3 linked regions of the Drosophila melanogaster genome follow. The protein of the gene in region 2 interacts with the protein of the main gene of each other region in a pairwise test. Each region holds a gene or a part of one and is shown on either strand. Other genes may lie near its edges.

Region 1 (5,683 bases), on a different chromosome or scaffold from region 2:
ACGTACTCACCTGAAGATCGATTTCTGGTGCGGAGGGAGAACCAAGGGTCCGAGATTACTTCTAATTGGAAACCAATCGTAATCGCTTCCGACCCAATTCAAGGCCAAGTTTATAATGACAGGAAAACACTTTCGCTTGGCTTACTCGCATTTACTTAAATTCCAAGAATTCGCAATGATTTTTGCTTGATTAAAATGGTCATTCAAAACAGTAGTGAGTAAAAGCTACAGAAAGAACGCTATAGTATATTTACTCGACTATTAGATACCCGCTTATCAGCTAGTGGGAATGCGAACGAGAAAGTTCAACAACCTCTTTGATTATTAAATGAAAATTTTAACAGTTTTTTCAAAACTGTGGGTGTGGCGTCTTTTTACAACGTGGGTCAACAAATGTATATGTCTCTGGAATCTGCATACTTAATCTCAACTTTCTACCTTTTATCCCGAAATCCCGCGGGAGCCCGAAAGGCCCCGCCAGAAATCCCGCTAGAGATCCCGGCACGTTTCGCCAAATCCCGCCATATATGTACTGCTTGTAAACTTTTTTGTAGGAAGAAAATGGATTTAGATATATATGTACAGTTTTGTTGACCATTTTTAAACCTAATCCGACCACTGAAGTGTTGCTTTCCTCCAAGTAAACTGTCTGTGTTTATTTTTCTATTCCGTAAAATTGTGACTGCACCTGTCCAGAACATCCAGAACACTCGTATTGAAGAATTGAACAGAATTTGGTATATAAATGCGTAGAATTTTAATAATGCACCAGTGATTGCATTTAACCCGCCGTTGATAACACTACAAATGGATTACCTGTTGAAAGCGGTAAGAAAATATAGAAAATATTCATAAAAATACTCTGTTAAATGGATTTCTTTCTAGATATTTGTTCTAATCCTTCTGAGCATCCACTGCACCAATGGATATGTTAATGGCCGCCACGAGATAGTCAGAAGGGAGGTGAACGTGACAGAGGTGGATCGCGGATTGAGTGGAGCACTAACCATGTTTTTCCAGCCCCTTGCTGATTTTGCTGCCAAGTTAAAGATGGAGATACCCATGATTACACACTTCCGCACCAAACATTTTAACTAATGTATTGTTTTAATTGTAAAAAAAGTGATTTAAAATGTTTTTAGCCTGTATTATTAAAAACGTTTAAATCAGAGGTACAATGACTTTTAGAAATGCCCTTGAAGAGGGCTAATGGTTCGTTGAGTTCACTGCCCGAAAATGTCAGCAATTCCCAACCAGCGGGATGCCCACGCTGTCACCCAGCTAATTTTCACCCACATATGTGGCGTTTTTCCGACATATGGGTGTCCAATATTTACCCACGGCACAGGTGCAGCAGGATGTAAGTAGATACGTGACACAGGGCATTGAACCAGGACACTTTTAGTACACCAAGCGAGCTAAGACCAAGTCCACACGCGCCGGAAAATGTTTAAAAAAAAAGTCTAAATTCACGTCAAAATGTCAACATTTCGCCTAACATTTTGAATTTCAAGACAAAGTAAATCAGCCCCGAATTTCATTATATATTTACCAAGAACAATGAGTTCCACAGTTAATTTACTTTTTCAGTTCTAGTACCTTTGTATTAGTATATATATTTCATCTATATATTAGTGATAAAAGCTATTTGTTACTATCATCTGTTTAGACTCTTTAGGAACTACAGGAAGATAAATGACCCGCAGGGTGAAGAAAACAACTTGCACGATTTCAAAGCAAAACATTTATTTATTTAAAATTCGTATCACAAAACCGTCCAGCGATGCACATGCATCCTGGTCACCTGTCAACAGTGAGAGGAGTAGGATTCGGAGTGGGCCTGGCCATGGATTTACCACACACCAGTGGCGGTGTAGGTCAGCGGCGAGGAGGCGGCCACTTGGGCGTAGGATGTGGCCAGAACGGGAGCGGCGGCGGCGTAGGATGTGTGAACAACGGGAGCAGGAGCAGCGTAACTGGTGTGGACAACGGGAGCAGCGGCATAGGAGGTGTGAACCACTGGAGCGGCAGCAGCATAGCTGACCACCGGAGTGGACTTCACCACGGGAGCAACGACATCCTCGACAACATGAGCGTGACTGTGCACCACCGACTGGCTCTGGTGGCTGACGGCAGTGGGTACGCTCTTGACCACGGCTCCCACCTTGGCCAGAACGGGCTCCTGGACGATGGTCGTCGCTGCTGGGGCAGCGTAGACCAGCGGGGAGGACTCCAACAGGTGACCGGGACGGGCAGCGGCTACAGCGAGCAGAGCAGACAATACCACCAACTTGAACATTTTGGAAATGGGTTAGGTCTGTATTGACTGTTTGGAATTGGGAGTGATCGGTTTGAGTTTCTTGCGAGAACTGTTGCCGTTTGCCGGGCTGCATCTATCTTTTTATACAGCAGCCATTTGGCTTTGACCTTCCGGCTCACAAAAGTGCGTCACAATTCGGACCGAAGTCATACCCATATCAGATTCTGGCCAACGATCAATAAGCAATTAGCGTCGGTGGACGGCTCAGCGGAGACAAGCGAACTACTTGTTCGGGTACTCGGAAATGTGATACACAGAGAAAAAAAGTGATCGTATTATGATAAATATTTCATATCATTGCGTCTTTAATTTGAACACATTCTTTATATACTTTGGAGTTTTAAGTATAGTGATATTTTTTTAATATTTTAAATTAAATAATAGATCACTCCTCACTTATTGCCTCACTTATTTCTTCTGTGTAAAACTGATCCGAATCACAGCCATTAGCCCCTTGACTGCCATTAGATACAGTGATTCCTCGGCGACTGCATTACTTGCACTTTGGGGGCGTGAGTCAGGGTCAACTTGCAGTGCGTGAGCTTTTTGGTTTTGGGCTACGGGTTTTTGGGATTTTGGGTCTCACAGTGACCAAATGCAAGTCTCATGTTTTATTGTGCCGGCGAGGGCAGATTTATACAACTCATTTGGTTTTGACTGCCCTCTGCTCTGCTCGTAAATGTTTTAATTAAACCACTCTTTCTTCGCCTTGCAGCCGCGTCGTGAACATCCATTTTTAACCATATATAAGGCGGCACTTGCGGTTGTCAAATTATCAGTCAACTTGTTCGCTTCAGCAGCACAACACAGACCAAGAAACAAAAATCCTTAAACATGTTCAAATTGGTAAGTTACAAAATTTATCACAGCATTATATCATCAATTAATCCTCCAACTCTCTTGTCCAGGTGGTGTTGTCTGCTCTCCTCGCCGTAGCTGTCGCTCGTCCCGGTCATCTTTATGAGTCTCCTCTGGTTTATGCCGCTCCAGCTGCCACAACCGTTGTCCAGGAGCGCTCTCTGGCCAAGGTGGGTTCTGTGGTCAGCAGCATTCCCACATCGGTCTCCCACCAGAGCCAGTCGGTGGTGCACAGCCACTCGCATGTAGTGGAGGACATCGTGGCCCCGGTGGTGAAGTCCACTCCGGTGGTCAGCTATGCTGCAGCTGCCCCAGTGGTGCATACCGCCTATGCTGCCGCTCCCGTTGTCCACACCAGCTATGCCGCCCCGGTGGTGCACACCTCCTATGCCGCCGCTTCTCCGGTTGTCTACAACTCCAGCTGGTAATCGAAAGACTAGACCTTTGGGGACTCATCCCAGCGAACTGGACGGTTAGAAAATAGCGATTCCTATTGTACATAATTGAGTTTAATTGCGAGTAAAATGTGATTGTTAAAAAATTGACATTTGTTTTGATTGGGAAATTACTATAGTGCTGTAGCCATACTTACAAAAATACAGCTACAATTTGAAAATTTGGGCTTTAAATGCCTTTTTAAATTGAAGATACAAATTAATATAATATAATATAATATACATATATTATATATATAATATATAATTATATATATAATATAAGTTCACATTTCTTATAGTTGTAGATTACTACTGAAAAAAAATTGGATTACTAAACAAAACTTGTTTTGAGTTGAAGATTAATTGATCTTACATAGTGCCTGAAATTTGGAATTTTTTTAAACAGTCATCAATTTCTATGTTATATTCAGATAGAATTAATTCATTAAGGATATACTATTGTTCATATATGTACTACTATAAATGGTATAAGTAGAGTATTGAAAGCATAATTTAAACAACGAACAATAAACAATAATTGCTTGATAACGATTTAGAATAAAGTACTATCCAAGATAAATTTCAAAACACGTATAAACATCAAGCAACCAAATCGTGATAGATAAGAACTACCAGCCACATAAGTTAAGGTAAAAGCACTGATACCGAGTTCTTATCTAACTTCTAGTGAACTGGTAGCATAAAGTGTTTTTCCATTAAGAAATATGCCACAGAATTATTTTGAGCATGAAACATGGATTTATTTACATCAGTCGAAATGTGAAAGAAGAAAAACAAAACAGCAGGGTTGAGAGTTTAAGCATGGGATCGAGGTGAGGGTAAGCCAAAGTTGCTAGCCCACGCAATGCCATCCAGGACCTCCATCACATTTACCAGGACGGAGCCCAGCCATGGCCAGCCCAACCATGTCCGGCCCACGGAGACGAGAGGAGGGTCGTGTGGAGGGCAGGAGCCGCATAAGTCTTGATGATGGGAGCGGCATAGGTCTTCACCACCGGAGCCACAATCGGTTGGATGATGTGGGCCGAGCTGTGCACCTGGCTGATGCTCTGGTGGGAGACGGCACTGGGCACGGTCTTGATGATGGCGCCCACCTTGGCCAGAGCCGGTTCATGGATGATGGCAGGAGCGGCATAGCTGTGGAGCAGTGGACCAGACTCCAAATAACCCGGACGGGCAGCCACGACGGCGAGCAGAGCGAAGAACACCACCTTTTCGATGAAAATTATAGCATTAGGTCCAGAATCATGTGACTTGGCCATAGGGTAGACTCACCAACTTGTACATTTTGCTAATCCTTGCGATCCTGGTGCGCTAGCTATTGGCTGAACTACTGAACTGTTGGTCTGTGTTGACGCCTCGCCGATTTGTGTGGTTAGCTCCAAATTTGCAGCGGCTTTTATAGTGCCCAAAAAGCCGAGCAGAGCCCATGTGCAACCGAATCTTAAAATGCAGAAAATACAATAATAATAATTTTCTTGCTCTTTTTTTTTTGGCCATTTGCTATTTTCCTCCTTCAAGCATCGTTAAGAAAAGCTGAAAAATAACGCCAACGGGGAGTTCGCCGAGTTTGCATGTGCAGCAGCTGATTCGCTTTGTCTTCGGCCAGCTTTTTGGCCAGAAAATACCAGCACACCCCACTCCCCCCACAACTCGGCAAATGCCCAAATGGCCAACTGACCGAGTGTGGTGGCCACTGCCCACCTAAGACATCGTACCCCATTAGGTTGCAAAAAAAAAAGAAATAGAAACCAGTCAAAATGTAATGTCTGACCGAATGGGTTGAGCTCACAGACGTTAGGTTTCTGGCCCATTCGGGCAGTTGGCCAGCAGCCGCCACTTTCAGCACTTCAGGCCAAGACGGGTGTCGCTGAAAATGTGCTTCGCACTTGTCATTTTCCTCCTCGCAACTGACCGTGAAAATTTCCCCTAGCTGCAACACGCACAGCAGCCGCAAACCGAACTCGCCCAAAGTAGTCCAAGTTCAATGGAAACGCACTTGCGTGTATCTGTCATGGCCAAAACATAACTGGCTCTGATGTCCGGA
Region 2 (7,040 bases):
TAGTCTCTGGCCCAATCTGAGGCGAGGTGATCGCGTGCACAGTCACAGCATCCCTTGTGGACAGTCTGGCAACGCTTCGACGAGCTTTGCTGCTCCAATTCGAAATCTAATCACTGATTTCGATTCCCTAGCGGCAAACATTATTTCTCGGTAAATGCAACACGCCAACATATAAATATAAAAATATAGTGGTCTGCCAGAAGTCTGAACTTTATTGGGGCTATCAGAGAAGTAATATGAATCAACAACCAAGCTAGTTTTATACCCGTTACTTGTGGAGTAAAAGGGTATACTATAATCGTTGAAGTGCAGTTAAGGGAAATGAAATTTCTTCCCCTCTCTTCCAATAGCTAAGTAACGGGGTATCTAATAGTCGAGTGACTCGACGTTCGAAGCGTTCTCTCTTGTTTAATCAGCGCTGTGTTTATTTATGCAACGATAAAGTTACTGATGCTAAGAAATCAAATGAGTTGGAAATTGCCTATTATATTTTTATAGCCACCGACAATTGTGGATAAAAACTTTTGTAAACAGAAAAATGTGGATAAAATACTACATTTGTTGCTTAATATATTTATGAATTTAAACGATAGTAATATCTGACATAAAAAAAATATGGGGTTTTTACACATTACTAACAATTAAGTACTGGGCGACCTTTTAGGAAAGAGCACTGTAGTTTTTGATTGAAATCTAGAGAGATGTGGGCATTTTTATATTCTTAGAACATATGAAATTTTTAAACCAATTGAAACCAATCACTTTTTCTTGCTTTTGGGGTGCTCACTGTAGTCTAAAACTCGACTTTACACTTGAGATAAATCAAATTGAAATGTTTGCAAATGAAATCTTAGTGACGTCAGCGCGGAGATCCCATGAATTGGAATTTGACAGAAGTCCGTTAGCCATTTGCCACCCACCTGCACACCCGCACACCCACACACCCATATACGCATACAGATAGAAGCACGAAACATTAGAGATGGCAGGTAGCTGCAATTATATAAAGTGCGCATTATCATACAGCACCCTTGGTTGTCTCTTCCCCCCGCCCGCGACACTTTACTCACATCATACGTCTTATTCTTGATGCAGGTGATATGTCAGCTGGACCGGCATGCAATTTTTTGCATATGTACTTTTTTAGCCGGCGTTTTGGGCGCACGCCCAAAAACAGTTGTTTTTTGTTTCGCTTGCGGCCCGCTGTTATAAAGAAAATGCCCAGCGCAGCACCCCCCACACACACGCACAACCATGCACACACACACACATGTCACATTCTCTACTTCTAGTACTACCTACCACATTTTTTCCATTCCGCCTTCGTATGGATTTTTCGGCCACGTTTTTCACTAGGTTCCCCTTGGGTTAGCTTTGTGTTTTTGATCGCAAATTATAGGTGAGATCGTCACCTGTCAATTGGTTGGGCTTTCAGGGCGATATCTCCGCGATTTCTGGGTGTAAAACGGCAACAACTAGCGCACAATGTGCTCACGGGCTGCTGCTTCCTCTTCACTTTAACACCATGACAATTGGTGGCTGCAGAAAGAATGAGCGGTGCGGCGAATTGGCGGGGCGAATTGGAAAGCAACAGCAAACACAACAACAAACAGCGGTACGGGCGACTGACGTGTGTGCCACCCACTTTCCGCCAAATATAACCGCGAATAACTGTTGTCTTGTAGTCAGTTTGGCGATTGGTACTTTTACCAAGTTTTTCAGCCACTTTAACTTTGACGCACTCGAAAAGCTGAAAGCTAAAAGCGAATCGACCAACTGGCCGTTTGTGTGTGCGTGTGTGTCCGCGGGCTATTTGCCTTCATACTTTGTTTGTTCTTTCGCACGCTCATTCGTATGGCTCGTCGACCGCAGCGTTGCTTTTTTTTTAATATCAATCAGCTGTAAAAGCGTATATTTTTCAGTTCGCCGTTCTTCGCCCGATGTTCCAAGGAAAAATCATCATACTCGTGCACGCACGCACCCACACAAATACAAGAACGGGCCCATATGTTGGGCGACGTTGCCCGGCAAATGTTTTTTTTGTTGTTTACTTTCTGGGTTTTGACGGTGCGGTCAGCTGTTTCAAAACAAATCGCTCGGTGTTACCAGCTGACTTCGCTCATCGGCCACTAAATAACATCGGCTCACGCGAAAATCATCCGAATAATACTGATTCGAGAATAGCGCGTTATTCAAAGGAAATCGGTTTTTTGAAAAGCGTTAATATTTGTTGATATCGTCGTGGATTGATATTTAGAATTAGGGATTGCTTAATCGTATAGATATTTATTACGATTTACATTCATTGAACTAAATTATTGTTGATAAAAAAATATGTTTGTGTTTTTAGGCCCCGCATTCTCTATACTTTATGTCGAACAAATCAAGTCAATCATAACATTAAAACTATGGCCTTGACTTGCATTGTTAACTGCCCTATTCGACATGACTCCCCAAAAAGAAGTACAACTTAATTCTTTAATGCAACCCAACGCGTCAGCAACTCCTGAAGGCTGCCGAATAAAAAGTGCATTGAACTGGGGCCTGGGAAAGGACAACAAATTCGGCATTTGTCTGGGAATTCAACACGTTGCCAATTCACAAAGCAGTGGGCAAAAAAAAAGTGAATAGTACACAAAAAATTCGAAGGCAAAAGGGTAAATCTTGATTCCGGAATCAGACCGGTGAGAAGGAAGCCAGTCCTAATTGCATTTGCAGCCGCACAATCGAGTGGTTTCTTGATAAGTCATCCTCATCGACAAGGGATGCAGTCGCAGCACGAGAGATTGCAAATTTTTCGGGGCTTATGCAGCGGTTTTTATATCGTTTTTTGGCATTTCACTTATGATTAATGGAGACAGGCAAAGGGGTTGAAACAGAACAGTCACATTTAATTCCCGGCGATCGCCGCTGGATCAAATGTCAATTATCACGAACACCTCGTAGTTGCTGGCCTCCACGTCCTGAATGATTTGCATGGCCGAGTATGTGATTGCCTTCACTTCGGTGCCCTGCGGATGTTTCCCCAGCTCAAATGGTTCCCCGTAACAATGGCAGGAAATCTCGAAGTTTTCCACATCGAACTTGGTGATCTCCAGCTTCTTGCACACCAGATACGGTTCGGCAGAGAACAGGAACAGCAGCTCGTCCAGAAAGTGAAAGAGTAAGCTCTCCAGATCATCTCCATGCGCTTCGATTTCAAAGCACTGCTCCACGGACACGTAATCCAGTTCGGTCATATATCCAAACATGGCCACTCCGCACTGTTCGAACGCCTCTTTCAGCGACGATCCCCATCCGTGGATTCTGTCAAATGGGAAGGATTCCAACATCATCCGTTTATATTAAGTAAATTAATTATGTCTATTGTAGCCGTAAGTTATAATTTATATACAAAACTGCTGCCTTTTAGTGGCGTAGTAAAAGAATTATTTATGATCTACTACTTAATAATAGTCTTGTTGTTTTAAGCGATAGTAGTATAATATAAAAGTCAGAAAAAACTTGCATTACATATAATCTTCAAAAAAGCAGATACATTTGACGTTTAAAAAGCCGTATTCCCTAACTATGAACATAATACATAGGTTTGGGAAAATATGAAAAATTATAATGGCTTTAAAATATGTATAAATTAAAATAAATTCTTTTTCAGAATGTTTGCTATATCTCAAATTCTAATACGAAAGCGCTTATTAGAATCTAGTTTATACGATCATCTGGATTTTTCATTCACAAATAGCGAACCACCCTACTCCACATGGCTAACGGGCACACTTGTTGTTTTTGTTGTTATCTTACTCACTGAACATCCGCCGTGTGATCCAGGTCTGCAACGCAATGTGATGAAATATTTAGCAACAGATTATTCTCCTGCAAATCGAAGAACTACTCACACTCGTACTTCATCTCCGGCAGCAGGAAGTTCTCCCTACTGAATTCCACCTCCATTATTGTTAGTTATAGCTAAAGTTAAAGTAAAATTCGCGGACAAAAACTATAAACAAACCAGCAACCGCTTAGTGTGACCATCTATGCGCAGGGGAAAATACCTACTGAAAGGAATATACCGAGCTCCAATAAGAAATTGTTAACATACAAATTACAGAAAATACTGAGCTCAAACCGGGAAATGTTAACATACAAATTTTAATAAAATGTATAAAATTGTTTGTAAGAAATATTTGGGTTTTATTTAATAAAGAGTAAACTATAAATTATAAAGATTGAATTATAAGATAAAAGTTTCTATCAAGCTTTTAAATTCGAAATTGTTAAAAATATCTAAAAATACCTAAAGGCTTCATTTATTTTTAACTTTGTAATTTAAAAAACTTGTAATTTAAATATGCATGTCAAATGGGAAGGATTCCAACATCAGAAGAGAAGAAAAATAAAAATAATGCTTCCTCCTTTAATAAAGTGTTTACAAAATGCTTCCCACGGCCCTTTTAGTTAAAAAAAATATATCTAAAAACGTTACAGAACGAAAGAAATAAAATTGTGCTAAAGGCTGTGATTGTAATAAAATTAAGTAATTTTGAGCAAAATTAAAGCAGAATTTCCAGTTTATGCCCACCATTTGTTATCGCACTTAAAGTGCTACAAAGTGCTGGCGCATGTTTTCAGCCCAGTTTTGAATTTCTGTAAGAGCGACCTTGTCCTTTCATTAAATCGCAATCAGCCATAACAACTGAAGCTGCAACCTTGTATTTTCATTTGCCAAAAGAAACAGTCCACAAAATCTTCTTCTGGCCTACCGGCAGCATTGCCGTCAATCGTTACGATTGTCAATCACGTCGCTTGATTTATTCAATCCCATGAACTTGAGCGCTGGCTGTGAGTACTTGATTTCATACTTGAATAATACCCATTGACGGACATGGGATTGTCTAATAAATATTGCCTCATTAAATTCAGATCACTTTTCAACCAGCGGTGATGGGTTATTGTTTGAAATAGACAGCGAAGGAAATATTTATTTCTAAGGTCGTTCAACTCGTTGATGTAAAGTTCAAGAAATATTTAGTGTGTTAAGAGAAATGAAAAGTTATTTTATAGTTAAAGTGTTTGTATTATTTCAAATGAATTTTGTATTTACTTTTTGTTCACCTTTTGGGACATTAATATGAATTATTATCAAACATGCTATAAAATTATATGAAATAATATTAATAATAACTTGCTAAGTAATGGTTATCAGTTAGTGCGCATCTCGGTCAATTAAATGATTCTACGCATTTCTAAAGGAATTTATGAATGATTTCTGCTGGTGATTTACGACCGTTTTGTTCAATTTTGTTCATTTTGCACATGAGGAAACGCGACTTGGGGGTGTCAAACTCTAAGCCGAGTTGACAAAGCTCAATTTTGTGCCCGGCCATATTATGGCTTTCAAACATTTTCCTGCTATTTTTGTGGTTTTTTTTTTATTATGGCTCATTTGGCTGCTGCTGCCACTTTTGGTGGAAGCTCTTTTTCTCTGGTTTCCTACGTCTTCGAGTGGTTCAGTTGGCTACGGGAGCTCGCCTGATTCACGTCGCGTATTCGGCGCAAATAACTGTAAAGCTATTATTATTCTCGAATATTTGCGCGCCTTTGCGTACGAGTTCCAGAATTTCATATTTGGCTACACTATATATTTGGAACAACCAGAAGTAAATTGCCTGGAAGTGAAACTAAAGCTCGGGAGTTCGGAAAACTCAACTAAACTAAGTAGCTAGGTAACTTGTTTTGTTAAATAACTGACCGTTGGTCAACTTGGTTGCAAATGCAACCGCTAAACTGAAGAATTGCCAAATATTATCATACGTTGTTGCTCTCGCGTTGCATGACTGGCTGCCGCCTCTAAGTGGATTTAAAAGTTGTTCGCACCCCCAAGTTTGTGTCTTGTTGAAGTCTTTCGTTTACCACTGTTACCATGCTTCCATACTAACGCACGATTTTGTCATGTTTGTAGTTTTCTTTTTACGCTATCTATTTGCTGCAGTACTCAGCCCAGTAATAGTCGGTGAGCTTAAGTTAAAGGGGTCAAGTGCATGCGGCGAACAAAAAGATTACAAAACGAACTACATGAAGATGAGGCTGTTTGAATAGCTTGCGATGAGAAAGAAGTGTCTTTTATTTTCGGTGCTAGGAGAAGTCTTTACGATGGCAATTATAATAATAAGTCTTTAAGTTTCATGCAAATATAAAATTCGTATGATAACTGTACAACTACTATCTTGGAAAAATTACAACTCTATACAAAAGTATTTAACAATTACTAAATCAAATACATTTTTCGTAGTAATGAAGATTCAACAACTAACCGATGGCTAACATATACTTTCAGCGATACATTTTTTTGCTTAATTTTGTATGCCTATCTAATGCCTTTCATATTCCTAACTTATTGAAATTTACCTGAAATCAAGGAACTTAAAAAGCACCATAAACTACTTATAAATCAATAAAAGAAAAAATAACTAACTAACTAATAACAACTCAGTAGACGATCAACTGTATGCAAAAGACAAGGACACTTTAAACAACAAACACCGGTTGCTCTTCACGCCCACAAAATCAGTTTACTCAAAACAATAAAGACAATAAAAACATAACGTACATTTACCTTTGAAATTAACAGAAGACAAACAGTTGCTGTTAAACTGAAACCACGAGCATGTCGCAACAGTCGCTCTCAAACTGTGCTCGCCTTCTGGTTTACCTGGCGGGGATTTCGCTCTTTGCCAACCACTTGGCAAACGCGTCCAGCCAAATCGACGTGGATACGGATCTGAAGCACTTGCTGGGTCGTTGCCACTGGTCGGACGAGGATTTCAACGAGTGCATGCGGCAGGTGTTTAACGACCTAAGGGCCTACTTCACAACAGGTGAGTGAGATGTGGATTACGGGCGAGCAATCATGGAGCAACTCTTTCAGGTGTGCCCGACTACAACATCAAGCCCTTTGACCCGCACCACTGTAGCTACGTTGAGCTGCGACGAGGTGAATCACAGGGTCTGGGCAGCTTTCGTCTGATATTGCGCAATGTATC
Region 3 (10,573 bases), on a different chromosome or scaffold from region 2:
CAGTCCCATGCTACTAACACCGCCATTCTAAAACCTAATCATACAACAGATTTTGAAATTCTTGCTTATTAGGACGGCCTGGTATCAAAGGCAAGCATCTATATGATCGCATATATATCATAAACCCTAGAATATAGCAATAAACGTATACAAATTGTATAACGATTTAAAAGTAACTACCAAAATGACTCTTGAACACTTGAAGTTTCATCGTGAATTTACCCAATAACGTTATAATATTGTATGCCTATCTATTATATTTTATGAAAAATATACCATATATTTTGATAAATGTATAATTGGTACAATCCAATCGAGAGATAGGGGGGTCAAATTATTTGCCCATCGCTACGCGTAAGACTAAAACTGAACGATTTGCTCAGGCAGCTGGAAAGGATAATCAAAAGCAAGAGAATAACTGAGAAACACTAAACTAATAATAACAATAATTATGTATAAATATATGTGTAACAATACAAGGTAGTTAATAAAAAGAATTGTTTTTTTAAATAAACAAATGATTTTTATTCGATTCGAAACGGAAGTATTCAGAGTATTCTTAACATTTTGTTGACTTTACATAGTTAACGTAGTCAACAAAGTAATTGAGCGTTCTGCATTTAAAAACAATTAAATTTGTTTGACATTCTTTTATTTATTTACTTACTAACTTTCTTGGTGTCCATTTCTTAATTATTGTTAAGTTACATTTATTCACAGCCTGTTTCAGGTTTTCTGTGGAAATATTGTCTTTTATCATAAAATCCAAAAAAAAAAACTATTTGACTATTCTTGGCATTTAGGTTTAATTCTTATTAACAAAAAAATTAAAGTACTACTTTTTTTATAAGTAGATAGTTTTCCTTGGACTTGAAGTTGAGAAAAAAAATCCAAAATTCTCCAAAAAGTAAACACTTCTTACCATATATTTTTAAAAATATCTATGGCATCCTTATTTTATGTACTATAACTTTTGTAAAGTATTCCTGATGTCCCCGACGTAATGTAACTATTTTATGTATTGTTAACAATTCATTTCAGGTGTAAGCATATTCTGTGGAAATATGGTTTTTATAAAAAACAAAACTATATAGATTCTTGGCCACACATTTAATTTTAATACTTGTCCCAAAAACAATTTTACAAGTACATAGCTTCCAAAAAATTAGCAAAAACATCGTTGATTAGCGATTAACAACGGTACAAGATTATTCCAAAATTTTCCTGATTTTCGCGAATTAAATTTTTAAAACTATCCGCGATTAGCTTGCGATATACACAAAACATATATCGAATGAATCAAAAGATACTGAATGTGGAGGAGATGGGGGATGTATGTATGTGTCGGCTATGTGTGAATGCTTACAAATATAGTCTTCGTTTTTGAACGCTTCAGGTGTTGTTTGTGTAGTAGAGAATGGCTAGGGTGTAGTATCTAGTGGCTATAGTGCCGATTTTGTTTACAAACACATGTGCTGTAAATTTATCTGTATAAAACTACAAAAGGTATTCAAAATTGGTCCAGTGTGCGATGGTTATAAATCTACGAGTAATGCCAAATCAATGCCAAGTTGGTCTATAGGGATCTATGCCAGGCGTTTAGGGCATGTCCCAGCTATCTGTGCGCCGCCTCTTATCCGCGTGCATCCCCAGCTCCTCGTCCTCGTAGCTATTCAGATACTGAAGTAACCAGCGTGTAAACTTGTTCATGTACGGATCGATGCAGGAGATCACATTGAAATTGAAGACCGCCGGCGGTGCCTGGTTTTCTTTGGCCCCGAAAATGCCCTGCACGAAATGCTCGCAGTGAAAGATGGCCACACAAACGTCCGATTCAAGGACCTCCAGCCGCAGCGCCAGCTTGGCAAAGCACTCAGCTAATTGCTTCAGCACTATATAGGTCTTGCTAGAGAAGACATCTGGAAATGAGCGGGATGGAAAACGTTAGTTGCCATCGATTAGAGGAGCACAAAATAGTAACAAAAGTTGTAAATAGTATTTCAAGTTTCGAAAATAATTAACAATTTGACTCTGTTAATTGTTCTCGAAACATGCTAAATGCGAAACATTACTAAAGTCAGTTTGGATGAGATCTGTTTGAATTGTGATTGTTGTTGTGTTTGTTGATCTGTGTTTCATAAAGCCGTACTGACACGACCCTTCGCTTTGAAGCTAGGAAGACGATTTGCTGCTTAATGGAATTAGACTTACTCGGTCGCTCTTTCCTGGAGATCACATAATACTTTTGCAGCATATGCTGAGCGCCATCGGTTAAGGTGGTCTTGCGCTGATGCAACAGATGTATAAGCATGCGCATATCGTCCTCGGGAATGCTCAAGCCATCGTTGACTACAATTTGACCCTCAGCGTTGTGCTTCTGAATTATAGAGTTCCAGAGACTATTGCTGGCCTGAGCACCCATATAAATTGGCAGCCCGAAGATTCTGCAAATTAGGTTAACTTAATATACAAGCGTAATTTCTAGTTTTGTCCACCTTACGGGCACAGTTTGGCGAGGGCCAGTGTTTGATTGGTGGAGTTGTTCGGCTGCCAGTAAGTCCAAACGGCTGCCTTTAAGGGCTGATCGATGTGCAACTGCGGAACTGGGACCGCTCCATTTTCGATGCACTTTTCCAGCTGGCATCCCTGATCCTTGGACAGACGATTCCAATCGCCGGCGTAGTAAACTCCCTGTTGTGCCAATAGTAAAGGACTGGCCACTATCCAATTAAAGCGCGTGGGCAGGGCATTGAAAGTGGGCTGCAGTCCGTATTCGTGGGGTCCCAGGAAACGTGGTGCCAGTTGGCCCACTTTGTTAAGTAGACGGTTGGCCATCAGGCTGTCGGTGGCGATTATGCATAGCGAAATTGGAGCCCGCACCTCATCAGATTCGATTGAAACGATACTGGCCAGCAGTATCATCTTCAGGTACACAAAGCAATCCATAGGCACACAGTCCTGACTGATCTGAGCACTTAGGGCGTAGACAAAGGAGTAGTCAGAATACTGCGATGAGATCAAGTGATGTAGTTTCTTGATGCTGGACGGCACGCAGTTTAGATCCGGCTTGGGATATTCTTGGCCGTGCTGTGATGGGGCTCGAAATATCATATGACGCTCGAGTGGTGGTCCTGCGTCCTTAGCGAGGTACGCGTTTTCCTCGCCGTGTTCGTCGGCGACGACCTGGTTCTCCGACTGGAAACTCGGGGGCTCTATCTCCGACTCCCACTGCCATTCCTGGTCCTGTTGCTCCGGCTGGGTTTCCTCCTGATCCATATCCAACAGAGGCCTGCTGTACATTAGGTCCTCGTCCTGGTGGATGCATGATTCCCACAAGTGTTGCTGGTGCTGGTTCTCCACCGGCGGCGAACTGAGAGTATGCGATAACTGGGTGGGCCCGGAAATGCTGGATGGGAGGCGGCTGGAGCTCATATGCTGGATGGGGGGTGGCGAACTGGTAAATATATCCATATTGGTGGTGCCAACCCCTGTACACGGGAGACTGGCTAGCCGAAAAACCGACTGGCTGACACTGTTGCTTTGGATTTCAACCGGAATTTGTGGTGACGAGTTGCTCCATATAATTCCCGACTGCTGATCAAAATAGAACACGGGCGGCAGATTGCCGGTGGCACTCACCTCGATCATTGCCGGTGGTACAATGGCTTCGATCGGTGTGTCGACTGTCTGTCGTGGTGGACATGGCTGATCATCTATCTCAGAGGTGTATTCGAGTATTGGTTCTGGGGCGCTGTCAGGATTTGGTAGTTGCTCGCGTGGGTTATTTTTTTTCGCGTGCAAAGAGCGCGTAAAACGCTGTCGACAGCGTCTTTGCTGTAATTGTCCAATATAGAAAGGGTTATCTAATGAGGATTAAACTTACGGTGCAGTAACTTACGCTCAATCTAGACACTTTGTGGGTTAGATGGGATTCTCCGGTAGGGTGGAACTCCTTAGCATTTGAGTTCAAAACGCTGCCCATAGCCAATTTTCGCATGTGGCTGCTCGCATGGATTTCTGGTGAGCTTTTCACCTGGCGCGGTTTCTCCTGTTGCTGGTACGGCACCACCTCTTTTTCCGGCGTTTTCCCTGAAGATCCCTCAAGCAAGGACTCTGTAAACTCTCGACTTACCGCCTGCAGACTGCGCACCATCCGGGGGTTGTGATTGCGACGTGGGAATCTCCTCTGCCTTCTCTCACTTTGATTAGGCGTCGGCGGCATAACATCCTCGTCCTCATTGTGGACAACACTGGGACCCGAAGATTGAGTGGTCTGCTGTCTGGGCGCAATGCGGATTGGTGCCGAAGAATTGTTTGTAACTGAAGCTCTCTTCGCAGGGCTCCTTGAGTGCAAGTAAATGAGCTCGGTAGGTCTCTCTGATTGCGACTGAGTATGATTAACAGGGTTCATCTGCTGCTGAACAGAAGTTTTCGGACAATTCTGAAGAATCTTTGGCTTCTGCTGCTGTTGTTGTTTCCAAGAGTGCTGAATGCCAGGAGACTTCTGATTGTTTTGGCTCCTTTCATTATTGGCAGGACTCTTCTGTTGCTGCTGTTGGAATTTGCTGGGAGAATTTTCAGAACTCTTCTGCTGTAAAGAACTGGCAGAACTCTTCTGATGATGCGAGGAATTGACCCAACTCCTTTGCTTCTGTATGAAATTGACCGAACTCCTCTGCTGCTGTGAAGAATTGACCCAACTCTTCCGCTTCTGTAAGGAATGGACCGAACTATTCTGCTGCTGTAAGGAACTGGCAGAACTGTTTTGCTGCTGTAAAGAATTGGCGGAAGCCATCTGCTGCATGTTAGTAAAACCGACAGAACTCTTCTGCTGCTCCTTTGGAGAGTTAGGTGTTTTCTGCTGATGCTCGACAGAATTAGCCGGACTTGTCTCCTCCTGTTGGGATTTAGCTGGAGTATTCTGCTCCTGTTGGATATTCTTCTCACCCGGAGAGGACTGGGCAGAACTTTTTGGCGTCAGCGGCTGTACTGAATCTTTACTCAGCAGTGTTATATTGGTCGAAGAAGAGCAACGTGCCTGGTCGCTTAAAGACTTTTGGCTGTCGCTAGGACGTACTGACGACAGCCAAGTGGTCACCGATTGATGATTGCTGTTGCTCGATTTCGGAAGCATGAAATCCGGCAAAAAGTTACCCAGCACAGGCGGATCTTTTACGCGACTAAAACGACTGGCAAGGCACGAAACAGTGCCGCCGTCATCTTGATTACGCACCCGCGGCGTTCGTTGTTTGAATCTCTTCGGGCGCTGGCCCAAATCAGGATACTCTTCGGCACTCACAACAAAGCTACGATCAGGCTTAGTGACTTCTTTAGATAAGCGCCAGACGTTAACATTTGGTTTGTAGACACCGGCCTTCGGTGTGGGAGTCATAATAGGCGTCACATCGCTTTCGACCAGGCCATTCGATGGTATGGTGCTGGGCATTGGGGGATACATTAATATATTTGCTTATTATAATGGTGTAAATAGAATATTCTACCCTATGGAGCTTGTGTTGGCATTTTGAGTAACTTCACGAACTTCACCATCGTCATCGTTGCGCAAGAAAACATTAAGCTGGAGGGGAATGTGCCTACGAGGGTCCTTTTTCTCTAGTTTATTCGTAGATGACATGCTTCCAGTTGATATGTGCTGGCTGAGCTCGCAAAGTATCCAGTGATTAGGTAGCTAGCACCCAACTTTAATTCGCAGTCGTGGGCGTGGGCTAAGAAATGTTGTTAATATTATGATTATTCATGATAGTGACATCCAAATGAGTATGTCCTAGTTTACCAGGCATATTTAATTTCACGTGTTTATGATGTCCTGAATACCAGATTCACTTACCTCTAAGGCGAACTAATTTTGGGCGATGAAGGCAATTGGTGACACGAGGTGTCTGAACTGCCGAAATAGGCAAGACAGCCAAGATACGATAGGTTTCCGTGACGCGCAGCTTTTGGTATTCACTCATGGGCCGCGAGCAGCTCGAACAAAAGGGTGCTGAAAGATATCAAGAAGATGGATTAGCAATGGAGCTGGCACAGGATCTCGTGAACAAGGAATGCTGGGTTAGATAACATTTTGTTAGACAGGGTTCCGAGGGTTGTGAGTATGGCTAGAGGTTAGAGGTTGTTAGTTAGAGGTTGTTGGCTGTGCCACAATTTGGATAAAGTGCACGTTGTTTCTTTATGTTCCTAGCCTATGGGACCTACCATCTGTTGAGCTGGTCTGTATGGCATTTCGCATACAGCCACTGCCGCAGTACCAGATCGATTGTAGGCTACAATGGAATATCAGGATATAAATTACACATATTATCAAAGATTGGTACACCCTAGCAGAGCAGCTGTGTGTTTTATAATTAATATGTTTAGAAACAGATATTGCCTAAAGCATAAGAAAATAATACATGCAATAGACAAATAATAAATACCATTAACCCACTTAAATAAAAAATAACGATAATACGATCCATGCTTTTTTAACTTTAACAACAATGAACATTCATAGAAAGTTAATGGGATATAGATATACTTCTTTTGTAGGTTGGTATTTACACTTAAGAGACTAAGCTTAAAACCCTCTTGAACTAAACCAAAAAGGGTAAACCAGCTTGGCTAGCTTGGTTAGTTAAGAACTATAACTATAATTAATCAGGCATGACAGGATACATAGTACCCAAACATAACCAAATCGAATAAGAAAAATGTGGAAAAAGCACACCAAAGCAAACTAGGGGAACATTGCAATTCTCTGCCAGGACATGTACAAACTGTAAAACTGACACCAGTGTTTCTTGCGGCGTGAAAGCGGCTAGGATGCCCCGGATCTGGGACAAGCCCAGCCGGGTCAACTGGTCCCGCGGCTCGAACTGCAGGCCCGGCGTAAAGGGCAGTCCCACCAGGCGCCAGTGGGCGTGCAGCTGGTTGATATCGATGGGCTTCAGGCCAGCGTCCTTGAGATGTGAGCGGATCAAGCCATAAACCGAGTAGCGGACCGCTTCTTGAAACTGCAGCGGTTCCTCGACGATGAGCTGCAGTAGTTGCGGTGAGATATCGAGTAGTTGCCGGTATTCGAAGTCCAGGCGCAGCTGGATGGGGGCCAGCAGGTCCTCTGGCCGCCGGGAGCTCATATAGTTCGCCACAAAGCGGCCAGAGGAGACCTGGACCAGCTTGAGCAGCTGCGTCTGCCGGCAAAAGTGCTCAACCAACTTCTGATCGTGGAATCTGTATTGTATATTAGCATTTCGTGTTTTATGTCTTTAGGAGCCTGCGAAAATAAATGCGCCCTGTTTTTTAACCAGGATTACCGTGCACTTACTGGCTTTTTAATGGAGTCTCGTTTACAACTGATGATCCTTCGCTTGCATCCACTGTGAACATTATACACTAATCCAGAAATGTGAACTTATTTCAATCCGACCTACTACCAAAGAATTTTAAAATGAAGTGTTTGACTAAGGAAAAATTGGAATTAAAACCGATTGCGATATGAAGTGTACCTATCGAGCCCTGATTTAAATCGATACTGAAGTTTTTCGATCGGGTAATGTGTGACTTAGATTTTAAATGTCGTTAAATGACTAATGACTAGCCTCCTACAATAAATGGATCTTTTGTTGCTTTGGCATAGAGTTCTTCAAAAGCGAAGAATAGAATATATAAATGTAGAATTTAAGGGCTTAAAACAATCGGAGTATTGTAAACTGTTGCCAGCTTTCCAATACATTTATTTTAGAAAAGTGATGCCAGATCGATGGAGTATCGCAACTATCTATAGATTTTATACACTAAAAAAACCGTATTTTAGTGATCTATCGTGAGTAGTTAGAGAAATATCTATGAAAGAAATTGTATCAATATCGATAAAAAAAACTTTTTAAAGTTTCAATTTGTTTAAACCATGTAATTTACTTTAATTTTTTAGCTAAATTTCATTTCAATATTTTTAGCTATTCCAAGCAAGACAATTTCACGTTTTACTCACGCTTAACCTCACATATTTCTGACACCAGCAGCCCGATAGAAAATAGCTAAAATATCCGTTCTTCTCTGACAACCAAGTTTATTATAAACTAAAAACTATAAAAAAAGAATGGTCTGAAGTGAATTTTTCATCTTGTTGTTTATTTTAGTTTTAGTGTATCATTTCTCAGTGTACACACGTTATTTGTATAAAAAAAAACAGACAGAAGTTTGTTTTTGCTGGTGATGATGTCTCCTTAACGGTTGGACTTGGCGACACGCTCCAACTCATCCTTCTTCTTGATGGCGTACGAGTTGGAAGATCCCTGGAAATACATTTAAACACAAGTTATTAGTATTGGCTATCAATGTTTTTCTAGATCTTTTATATGTTAATTGCGCTGTTATGTTACTGTTACTGCATTGTATGGATTCATCGCTTCTAAATAAATAAATATAAAAAAACAAGTCCCTAACTTATTTAAAGCTAGTGTTCCTTTACGTTTCTCATGTGCATTGAACTAAGCAATATTACAAGCACAAGGATAATAAAGGATGGAAATTAATCTGGTCCAAAAGCGAGACTACATAATTAAACCACCATGCAGAATTAGATTGGACCTATTATTAAGCTCTATATACCAACTCTTAAATAGTTTGCTAATGTTCTTTTACGTTTCTCGTGTGCATTAGACTGATATTGTCACAAGCACAAGGATAATAAAGGATGGTGATTGTTCTGGTCCAAAAGCGAGACTACATAATTAAACCACTATGCAGAATTAGATTGGACCCCCGCTATCCTAATCGAATCAGTTCCTAAATGCTAATTCATAAAAGTGTTCTTTTACGTTTCTCGTGTGCATAGGACAGTTAAGTGGTCACTAGCACAAGGATAATAAGAGATTTGGAGTTTGATCTGGTCCAAAAGCGAGACTACATAAATAAACCATGATGCAGAATTAGATTGGACTAGTTGAAATGACTAGCTGTGTCACTAGAAGGAAGAAAAGAGCTATTTCGAAGCTCAATTCTTGGGTTAATCCGAGTGCCGAACGTGGTTCTCGATCTGGTCTACAAGCGAGGCCAGGCATTTTGGTAGTACAATGCCAAGCATTAGAGTAGACCACCCCATTCCCACTTTGATCTCGCCACAAGCCCAATTTACCCACCTTAGCAGCGTTGATCAGCTCATCAGCCAGGCACTCGGCGATGGTCTTGATGTTCCTGAAGGCAGCCTCACGAGCTCCAGTGCACAGCAGCCAGATAGCCTAAAGGAAATATACGGAAAAAAATTAATTAAGTAACTTTATGAACGCAATCACAGCAGCGTAAGAATTTGGGGTTCTTATCGTTAGTAAAATGAAAGTGTGTTATGCAATTGATAATGTCTCTTCGTTTCATACGCCAAATGTCGGCTATACTACACATTATGACGCTACGGATATTAGATAGATTTTCGTTCTGGCCAAGTGTTATAAGCAAGCAGTCTCTAAACGAACCACAAGCCATTGCTACCGGCCACCGTGAGCACATGCATCTGGAAGGCAAATCTTCAGAAGAAACCCACCTGGTTGACGCGACGCAGGGGCGACACATCGACGGCCTGGCGACGGACGGTACCGGCACGTCCAATACGGGTGGAGTCCTCACGGGGTCCCGAGTTGATGATGGCGCTGACCAGGATCTGCAAAGAGGTCACAAAAAAAAATCGAAATGAGTAAGCTATCACTTGATCCACTCGAAGCACCAAAGTAGAATTTTTGCTGTTGATTTATTGCTTTATTAAGGTTGCATTTTTGAGGCCATGCCCTTAAGAGGAATAGCTAATCATGGGGTTTATTGTGGTCCAATTGAATACCACAACGCTGTAGGGATCAACGCTGCAGTTTTAGTTTTGGACGGATAATGATACCCTTGGTGAATAATGCTTAACTTTAGTGTTGTTTTAATTTCCAGGAGAGCAGGAAGTGGCTTATATCTTCAGGCACAAGGATAGTTAAAACAATTTCAATTGATATTAGTCCATTTTTGGTTATGCTCAGTATGGCATCGTATTTTTAAGCCATCTGGCATTGAGGTGGACTGACACGCGGTTTCTGAGAATAGGTTTTTGTTGATTTATGCTTTATTAAGGTTGCATTTTTGAGGCCATGCCCTTAAGAGGAATAGCTAATCATGGGGTTTATTATGGTCCAGTTGAATACCACAACCCTGTAAGGATCAACGCTGCAGTTTTAGTTTTGGACGGATAATGATACCCTTGGTGAATAATGCTTAACTTTAGTGTTGTTTTAATTTCCAGGAGAGCAGGAAGTGGCTTATATCTTCAAGCACAAGGATAGTTAAAACAATTTCAATTGATATTAGTCCATTTTTGGTTATGCTCAGTATGGCATCGTATTTTTAAGCCATCTGGCATTGAGGTGGACTGACACGCGGTTTCTGAGAATAGGATTTTGTTGATTTATGCTTTATTAAGATTGCATTTTTGAGGCCATGCCCTTAAGAGGAATAGCTAACCATGGGATTTCCTGTGGTCCAATTGAATGCCACAACGCTGCAGAGATCAACGCTGCAGTTTTAGTTTTGGACGGACACTGAT

What was found.
Region 1: the proteins of Archease (region 2) and CG13043 interact in a two-hybrid assay, tested with the Drosophila melanogaster proteins (one large-scale study listed by BioGRID).
Region 3: the proteins of Archease (region 2) and mei-217 interact in a two-hybrid assay, tested with the Drosophila melanogaster proteins (one large-scale study listed by BioGRID).

Annotation. Positions count from the first base shown.
Region 1 is NT_037436.4:16,303,493-16,309,175, forward strand, and holds CG13043 (uncharacterized protein), read right to left. Parts: upstream 2,379-5,683; 5' UTR 2,300-2,378; coding exon 1,853-2,299; 3' UTR 1,733-1,852; downstream 1-1,732. Other genes in the region: CG43249 (uncharacterized protein), read left to right, coding at 808-828, 886-1,098; CG13063 (uncharacterized protein), read left to right, coding at 3,155-3,166, 3,229-3,606; CG13042 (uncharacterized protein), read right to left, coding at 4,506-4,847, 4,912-4,923.
Region 2 is NT_033777.3:21,658,914-21,665,953, forward strand, and holds Archease (archease), read right to left. Parts: upstream 4,060-7,040; 5' UTR 3,952-4,059; coding exon 3,897-3,951; intron 3,831-3,896; coding exon 3,806-3,830; intron 3,307-3,805; coding exon 2,916-3,306; 3' UTR 2,273-2,915; downstream 1-2,272. Other genes in the region: Jhbp16 (juvenile hormone binding protein 16), read left to right, coding at 6,665-6,875, 6,926-7,040. UniProt on the Drosophila melanogaster protein: Component of the tRNA-splicing ligase complex required to facilitate the enzymatic turnover of catalytic subunit RtcB.
Region 3 is NC_004354.4:17,135,478-17,146,050, forward strand, and holds mei-217 (meiotic 217), read right to left. Parts: upstream 7,514-10,573; 5' UTR 7,387-7,513; coding exon 7,325-7,386; exon of another isoform or gene 7,231-7,324; coding exon 6,790-7,230; exon of another isoform or gene 6,285-6,789; coding exon 6,217-6,284; intron 6,118-6,216; exon of another isoform or gene 6,005-6,117; coding exon 5,849-6,004; intron 5,727-5,848; coding exon 5,614-5,726; coding exon of another isoform or gene 5,502-5,613; intron 5,439-5,501; coding exon of another isoform or gene 3,899-5,438; intron 3,835-3,898; coding exon of another isoform or gene 2,501-3,834; intron 2,445-2,500; coding exon of another isoform or gene 2,212-2,444; intron 1,920-2,211; coding exon of another isoform or gene 1,600-1,919; 3' UTR 1,101-1,599; downstream 1-1,100. Other genes in the region: mei-218 (meiotic 218), read right to left, coding at 1,600-1,919, 2,212-2,444, 2,501-3,834, 3,899-5,438, 5,502-5,635; RpS5a (ribosomal protein S5a), read right to left, coding at 8,226-8,294, 9,141-9,239, 9,539-9,655.